Callithrix jacchus: one gene and its partner. The protein of the gene in region 1 interacts with the protein of each later gene in a pairwise test. Links are inferred from orthologs where the notes say so. Each region holds a gene or a part of one and is shown in the gene's direction. Other genes may lie near its edges.

Region 1 (4,168 bases):
AGTCCTGACATGTGAACAAGGTGGTTGGGGCACAGCTTGCTTTTATATATTTTGGGGAGATGATACATCATCAATACATGCAAGATTTACATGATTGTTTCAGTCTGGAAGGGGAGACAACTCCAACAGGGAGAAGCGGGAACTTTCAGGTCATTGGTACATTTAAATTTTTCTGATTGGCAATTGATTGAAAGAATTATTATTGGCTGGGTGTTGTGGCTCACAACGTATAATCCCAGCACTTTGGGAAGCCAAAGCAGGCGGACTGCTTGAGTCTAGGAGTCTGAGACCAGCCTGGGCAACATGGCAAAACCCGTCTCAACAAACAAACAAACAACTAGTTAGGCATGGTGACATGTGCCTGTAGTCCCAGCTGCTTGAGAGGCTGAGGTGGGAGGTTTGGTTGGGCCTGGGAGGCCGAGGTTGCAGGGAGTTGAGATTGTGCCACTGCACTCCAGCCGGGCTCTCAGGACCAGATCCTGTCTCAAAGAAAAAAAAAAAAAAAGAGTTATCAGTAGAAAGGAAAGTCTGAGTTATGATAAGGGGTAGTAGAGACTGAGGTTTTATCATGCAGATGGAGCCTCCAAGTAGCAGGCTTCCGAGGGAATAGATGATAAATATTTCTTATCATACTTAAGGTCTGTGTTGATGTTAATGAGGCATGTCCAATCCCCTCTTTCATCATGGCCTGAACTAGATATTAAGGTTGAATCTGGAATGCTCTTGGCCAAGAGTAGGGGCCCATACAGATGGCTTTGGGCCTTAGCATTTTATTCTTGGTTTACAAAACCAAGGATGTACAATACATAACAGCGTTTTATCAGTAACTTCAGTCTTTTATTGGAAGGAACAAGAGCTTCCCGCCAGGAGCGGTGGCTCACACCTGTGATCCTAGCACTTTGGGAGGCCAAGGCAGGCGGATCTCCTGAGGTCCGAAGTTTGAGACTAGCCTGACCAACATGGAGAAACCCCACGTCTCTACCAAAAATAAAAAGTTATCCGGGCGTGGTGGTGCATGACTGTAATCCAAGCTACTCGGGAGAATGAGGCCGGAGAATCGCTTTAACTCGGGAAGCGGAGGTTGCCGTGAGTGAAGATCACGCCATTGCACTCCAACCTCGGCAACAAGAGCGAAACTCTGTCTCAAAAAAAAAAAAAAAAAAAAAAAATTCCCAAGCATTTCACTTTTTCGCACATTGGGGCAGGTAACGTCATTTCCTGGTAGGCACAGAAGTTTGAGGCTGAGAATAGGTTAAGATTCATTGTGACCCTTAGAAAGACAAGCCTCCGAACTAATCCAGTAACACCCATCGTCAGGAGTCAGTCCTTCACGGCCGCGGGAGGGCGCAAGGAGCTGCGGCTGGAAGTACTCGGGAGGGCCGGCGGAGGAGGCGCGAGGAGCCCGGAGCTCGCAGAGCGCGCTGGAGGTGGGCGCGGGGCGGTGCCGCGGTGGCCGAGGGAGCCGCGATGGAGGGCGCTCGGGCTGTACGCCAGGTAAGCGGGCCTCGCTGGGGGCGGTTCCCACCCGAGGCTTGACCCGACTTTTTCTCACGGTGATTGCTTGGACCTTCTCAGATTACAGTTAATCCCTCCCTTCCCTGCTCTTCGAGCTCTTTGGAGTAACAGGGAAAGTTGTTACCGAGGGAACGGTTTCCTGTGCTTACGGGAGCCCTTTCCCTCCGGGCGGTGGTGGGAACGTCTGCTTCCCTGTGGGCGCTGAGGGCTTGACTTTGGCCAGAAATGTGCTGATGCGGATGTCTCAGCCTCAGGCCCCCTTGGGTCAGGCTCCATGGTGGTGATTCTGACTCAGTGTTAGTTTCTGCAGCCTCGCCTCCTTCCTTTCATTCTCGGCCCTATTACACAGTGATAGTTTAAATCACTGTGCTGTCAGCCAGGTTTTTGGTTTCAACTAGTCTAGTTTTGTTATTTGTTTACTACCTTATTTGACAAAATGGAAAACTTGCTGGTTAATATTCAGGGTGAAGCTCCGCTTTTGTTGGAGGTGCGCCTGCATTTCTGAACGCCGTCCTCCTTCCACATTGGTTTGTGCGTATATATTTTACTTTTAGAGAAAATGTGGTCAGTGCTATATCTTCTGAAGAGCACTATCATTTACAGATTGGTGGAGGTACACAAATAATTGTTGAATGAACAAATGAGTGTGTTATTTCACTTGATTTGAAAAACATTACTATGAAATAGTCAAGCTTGGATATTCATGAACCCAATCAGTCACTGATTCAACTATGTCTCTGGCACTGGGTGTCCGGGATTAAATGGTAATTAACACAGGCCTGATCCCTGCTCTCAATAAGCTTATTGTCTAGACTAGAGATAATTATTTCCTCTGTTGTAGAGTTAAGGAAACAGATGTACAGAGATTGACTTTGCTAAGGACCACACAGCTGATAAGTTAGAGAGACAGGAATCTATTGTTGCCACCCCAGAAAGCCGGAATGAACCCCCACACTAAATTTGTTCAGGTGTAGAAACTGATGATGCCACACACACACACCATGAGGGTATGAAAAAGCCTTTTACTTACATACTTGAGGTCTCTGGGGAGAGCAAGGCAGGTCTCTCAAGCAGCACCAAAAAGGCTTAAAAGAGCCTCAGGAAAAGACTGGCTCCAGGTCTTTTTTTCTGGGTTAGGGAGTGGGGCCAGGGTGAGAGTTCCTGTATGCAGACAGGAGATTGCTTGAATTTCCCACCCAAGATGAAGGAAGGAACTTCCAGGCTTTCTTTTTTTTCTTTTTTTTTTCTTTTTTTTTTTTTTGAGACGGAGTCTTGTTCTTTCCCCCAGGCTGGAGTGCAGTGGTGCGACCTCGGCTCACCGCAACCTCCGCCTCCTGGGTTTTAAGCTATTCTCCTGCCTCAGCCTTCCAAGTAGTTGGTGCATGCCACCACACCTTGCTAATTTTTTTTGTTTTTGTTTTTGTTTTTTTTTGAGACGGAGTTTCGCTCTTGTCACCCAGGCTGGAGTGCAATGGCATGATCTCGGCTCACCGCAACCTCCGCCTCCTGGGTTCAGGCAATTCTCCTGCCTCAGCCTCCTGAGTAGCTGGGATTACAGGCACACGCCACCATGCCCAGCTAATTTTTTGTGTTTTTAGTAGAGACGGGGTTTCGCCATGTTGACCAGGATGGTCTCGATCTCTTGACTTCGTGATCCACCCGCCTCGGCCTCCCAAAGTGCTGGGATTACAGGCGTGAGCCACCGCACCCGGCCTTTTTTGTATTTTTAATAAAGATTAGGTTTCATCAAGTTGGCCAGGATGGTCTCAATCTCATAACCTTGTGATCCACCCCCGTCAGCCTCCCAAAGTGCTGGGATTACAGGTGTGAGCCACTGAGCACAGCCGCAGGCTTTCTTATCAGCTTGCCCAGATGAGGTCCGGAAGAGGAAGAGGGAGGGGTGAGGCAAATGAAATAGACTGAGATTTGTGATAATTCATCCTTGATGTTTGATTGATGACTGACATGCACCATTTTTCATTTAATTGAATTTGAATTTAAGTAAGCCATTGTGGCCCAGTTCAGTGGCTCATGCCTGTAATTCCAGCACCTTTGGACACCACGGCAGAAGGAAGTATCGCTTGAGGACAGGAATTTGAGGCCAGCCTGGGCAACATAGCAAGACCCCGTATCTACCAAAAAAAAGTTAACCCGGCATGGTTGTGTGGTGCCTGTAGTCCTAGCTATTCAGGAGGCTGAGATAGGAAGATCATTTGAGCACAGCAGCTTGAGACCTCAGTGACCCCTGTTGGTGCCATTGCACTCCAGCCTGGGTGACAGAGATCAAATTATTTTCAGAAAGTTGACCAAGGTGGTAGGCCTTACACTATGTGTATCACAATGGCCCAACCCCTTTCGTGAGCTCCTTTGTATGTCAAAAGACTGTCCTTAGAGGAGGGTGTCATCAGTGGAATGTTAAACCTGTGGTCCTGGAGAAAATTGGATGCAGTTAAGATCTTTCCTGTAGAGATTGGGTATGATGGCAAGACTGTTGAGGTACTCTGTGGGTAGCCAGGTAAAGGGATATTAGGTTTCTCTGGAGGTGAAGACCAACTGTGGCTGAGGAGGTGTTGAAAGAAACACTAAACAGTGGTGGCTCACGCCTATAATCCCAGCACTTTGGGAGGCCAAGGCGGGTGGATCACGAGCTCAA
Region 2 (4,024 bases), on another chromosome or scaffold:
CAGGAGACTTGTCATGGGTGGGGGGATGCCTGCTCAGGATGCGGGCTCTCCCCAGGGGGCCCCAGGCCTGCCTGACCGAAGACATGAAGAACTAGCCTGGAGTGGTCAGGGGCCTCCAGTGGTCAGGGTCCCGTGTGCCCTCTGCCAGTCTTCATTCTGTCCCCATTCAGTCAACCCCATCTCAGTTCAGCAGAAAACCCCCGATCAAATAAACCCACTGCCTGCACTGCATCCTCCTGGCCTTCCTGCGTCTGGGAGCCGCAGCCTGTGTGTGCCCGTTGCATGGGTGGCCACTGTGCACGCGTGCCGTGTGGGTGACCACGTGGGCCTGCGGCACCAGGGCTGAGGTCCTTGTGTGTCCTCTTGTGTCCCTGGTCATACCCCCCAACGCATACTACTCATCAAGGCTGGAGCCCCACAGGGCCCTGCACAGTGTGTGGGTCAGGGCTCCCCATTGTCTTGCCCAGTCCTCATCTGTGTCAGTGATGAATGAGTTCGGGGGGCGGAGGGGGGGAGCCACCTCCTTCCTCACTCCCACTCTTGGCTTCCTGGTGCCGCCCTAGGCCGGTCCTGCCCTTCCTCCCTCACCTGCTCGCACCACTCCCAGTGGCCCCTGCCAGTATCTCTGGCTGCGACCCCAGGCCTGCCCGGGTCTCCGCAGCCTAGTGTCTCTCCTGCATCTGCCCACAGCGCCAGGCCCTCCCCTACCCCAGGCCGGCAACCGTTCTGCCGACCCCTGAAGCCTCTGGGCGGTTCCAGGGTGCGGAGAAAGAGATGGGGTTGGGCCCGGCCGCCACAGCGTGGGGCCTCTGGCTGCACTGGTCGCCGCCATAACTCCGGGCCCGCCTCCCGCTCACCTCCTCCGTCCCTGGCTAGGGTGGACCCTTGATGGGCTGTTGGCGCCCTCAGGGCTGCAGCTCGCCCGGCCCCCGCAGTGCGGGGTCGACCCCCAGCGCCTGCACCCACCGGCTGCCGCTCGCCACGCGGGTTCAGACTTGCCGGGCTTCTGCCACCGCGGGCGGGGCCTGCGGGCTGGGGCGGGGCCGGGGATGGGAAGGGGCGGGGACTGAGGCCTGGGGCGGGACCGGGGACGGGGAAGGGGCGGGGCCTGAGGCCTGGGGCGGGGCCGGGGATGGGAAGGGGCGGGGCCTGCGGCCTGGGCGGGGCCGGGGCGGGGCGTCTCCTCGCAGGCCCCGGGCTGCGCATTCTCCGCGCTGGGAGCCGCCCCGCAGCCGCCGCCGCCGCCGCCGCCGCCCAGGCCCGAACTCCGACGCGTGGTGGGTAAGTGAGTGCGCGGCGCCGGCCGAGCGGGGCGAGGGGGCCGAGGCGGCCGTGGGGGCCGAAGGTCCTGCGCGCCCCAGTACCCGAGGCCCCGCCGCAGGCGCCCGGGGAGCCCGGGAGGCCGCGCCCACCGCCTGCCCAGCTTCCTCGCAGGCCCTTCCGCGGAGGCGGCGGCGGGCGGGTGGGAGAGTCGCCTCCCGGGGCCCCGGACGGGCCTGACGACCCCCTTCGTCCCAGCGGCCCCGGGACGCCCAGCCTGGACGCCCCGCTCATTGTCTCTGGACACGGCCCCCTTCCCTCCGCCCGCGTGCAAGTGGGCGCGCCATTGGCCGCGCCGGGCGGGGTCGGTGACCTCATTGCAGTGCCGGGGACGCCTGGCTGGCGCGGAGTCCGGGGTCCCCCCTGTGGGGGCTCTCCCTGATGGGGCGCGGGCCGCCCGGGGGCCTGGTGCAGTTCCCGGGGACTGGGGGAGGGCCGGAGAGCTATTTCTGGCCGGCCTTGTCCCAGGCGGTTCGCGGGGACCAGGCATTCCTGGGAAGAGCGGCCACTCCTCAGCGGGTCGCCTGCGTCCTGGCGGTGGAGGCTGCATCTGTGCCCAGAACCAGCCTCCCCAGAAGGCTTGGGACCTCACAGCCAGGCCAGGGGCAGGTCCCCCCGGCTCAGTGGCAGGGTCTGCTCCTGCCACTCCTCGTGTATTAGGCCCCAGCTCCGTCACGGAGGGTGACTCTCAGCTCAGTGGTCAGGTCTGGACCCCCCCCAGCTCCATGGTGCCTCTTTCCCAGGCTGTGGCTGCTGCTGTTTGCCGGGGTGGGGAAGGCCAGCGATGGGTCTGGAGGTAAGGCCAGAAATGTCCTCTGCCTTGGGAGGCCAAGGCGGGTGGGTGACCTGAGTTCGAGACCAGCCTGGCCAACGTGGCCAAACGCTGTCTCTACTAAAAATACGAAAAGTAGCTGGCAGAGGTGGCAGGCGCCTGTAATCCCAGCGACTCAGTAGGCTGAGGCAGGAGAACTGCTTGAACCCAGGAGGTGAAGGCTGCAGTGAGCTGAGATCCAGGCATTTCACTCCAGTCTGGGTGATCAGAGCAGAAAAAAACAAAATCACTGGGCGAGGTGGTGGTTCACACCTGTAATCTTAGCACTTTGGGAGGCTGACGTGGGCGGATCACGAGGTCAAGGGATCAAGACCAGATTGGCCAACAGGATGAAACCCCGTCTCTACTGAAAATACAAAAATTAGCCAGGTGTGGTGGCAGGTGCCTGTAATCCCAGCTACTCGAGAGGCTGAGGCAGGAGAATGGCTTGAACCAGGAGGAGGTTGCGGTGAGCCGAGATCGCACCACTGCACTCTAGCTTGGTGACAGAGCGGGACTCCATTTCCTCCCCTTCCCCCACCAAAAAAAAAAAAAAGTAAAAAAGAAAAACAAAGAAATGTCCTCTGCCTTGCCCCACCCTAGCCCAGACCAAAATACCAGGCTTGGCCAGTCCTATTCTGCCTCCAGAATGAACCTCGCGCACTCTGGCCCTTGGGCCAGACCTGCAACCTGTGACCTGACGTGCCCTTGTCCCTCTAGCCTAGACTCCTGGGGAGCTTCTGTCCACCTGTCCTACCGAGGAGTCGTTCCCAGCTGGCTGTGGAGTGCTGGGCAGGGTGGGGCAGAGCAGGCGGGGCAGTTAAAGTCCAGGCTTGGCTGTGCTGTCTGGAAACGCCGCCCGGGGCGCTCAGCTGCTGTCTGCACCCCACCCCTCCGCTTTCTCTGAGTGGCCTCCTCCACCCTCACTGCAGGCCTGTAGACTACCAGCCTGTGACGTGGGCCCCTGGGAATGCTATGGGGGGCGGGCAGACCGGCCTGAGCTCACTGGAGGGACCTGCTAGGGCCTCCTCCCCCGGCTGTCTGCTGGGGTGAGTCAGCAGTGATGGTTGGAGGCCCTACATGACCCCCGTCCTGTCTGGGGTCACCAGGGCTCTATCCTGGCTGTACTGCGTGAGGCTCATGAGTCGCTAGGTAAGTGGCTCACGTCCTGTTCCCGTGGGGGCTCCTTCGCAGGCCTCCCAGGAGAGCGGCTGGCTCCACCCCAGTCCTGGGCTGGCTTGGGCATCTGTGTCCCCTCTTTCTAGCTGTCCTCCTGTCACGGGTCTGGTGTTGTGGCCCTGCTGACCCCTCCTGTGCCTCCCCAGCCCCAGGATGGGAGAGTTCAACGAAAAGGCAACATGTGGCACCGTTTGCCTCAAGTACCTGCTGTTTACCTACAACTGCTGCTTTTGGGTGAGGAGGCGTTGCCCCGTGTCCGTCCCCCGTCCTGCGCCACCCTCAGACCCAGGCAGACTCGGTGACCAGCACCTACTGGCTTGTAGCTGGCCGGCCTGGCCGTCATGGCAGTGGGAATCTGGACGCTGGCCCTCAAGAGTGACTACATCAGCCTGCTGGCCTCCGGCACGTATCTGGCCACAGCCTACATCCTGGTGGTGGCGGGTGCTGTCGTCATGGTGACTGGGGTCCTGGGCTGCTGTGCCACCTTCAAGGAGAGGCGGAACCTGCTGCGCCTGGTCAGCAGGGCGGAGGCCATGGGTCGGGGAGTGCGGATGGGGCCCAAGGGGGCTTTGAACCTGTGCCTTGCTGTGCTCACCTGGCCCAGGTTGGGGTGGGGCACGGTCCTTCCCCACCTGCCGAGTCCTATGGGTCCCCATATTCCTGCTAGATCACCTGAGGGAAGCCACCAGCTCCGAAAGCAAGCCTCAGGGAGCC

The links. The genes of interacting proteins can lie anywhere in the genome.
Region 2: the proteins of GRAMD1C (region 1) and CD151 interact in binary tests that used the Homo sapiens proteins (3 or more experiments, as listed by UniProt). The link is inferred for Callithrix jacchus from reciprocal best matches to the Homo sapiens genes GRAMD1C and CD151.

Annotation. Positions count from the first base shown.
Region 1 is NC_133516.1:88,836,829-88,840,996, reverse strand, and holds the start of GRAMD1C (protein Aster-C), read left to right. Parts: upstream 1-1,368; 5' UTR 1,369-1,467; coding exon 1,468-1,494; intron 1,495-4,168. UniProt on the Homo sapiens protein: Cholesterol transporter that mediates non-vesicular transport of cholesterol from the plasma membrane (PM) to the endoplasmic reticulum (ER).
Region 2 is NC_133511.1:131,070,682-131,074,705, reverse strand, and holds the start of CD151 (CD151 antigen), read left to right. Parts: upstream 1-1,224; 5' UTR 1,225-1,281; intron 1,282-3,166; exon of another isoform or gene 3,167-3,283; intron 3,284-3,396; exon of another isoform or gene 3,397-3,456; 5' UTR 3,457-3,463; coding exon 3,464-3,544; intron 3,545-3,633; coding exon 3,634-3,825; intron 3,826-4,024. UniProt on the Homo sapiens protein: Structural component of specialized membrane microdomains known as tetraspanin-enriched microdomains (TERMs), which act as platforms for receptor clustering and signaling.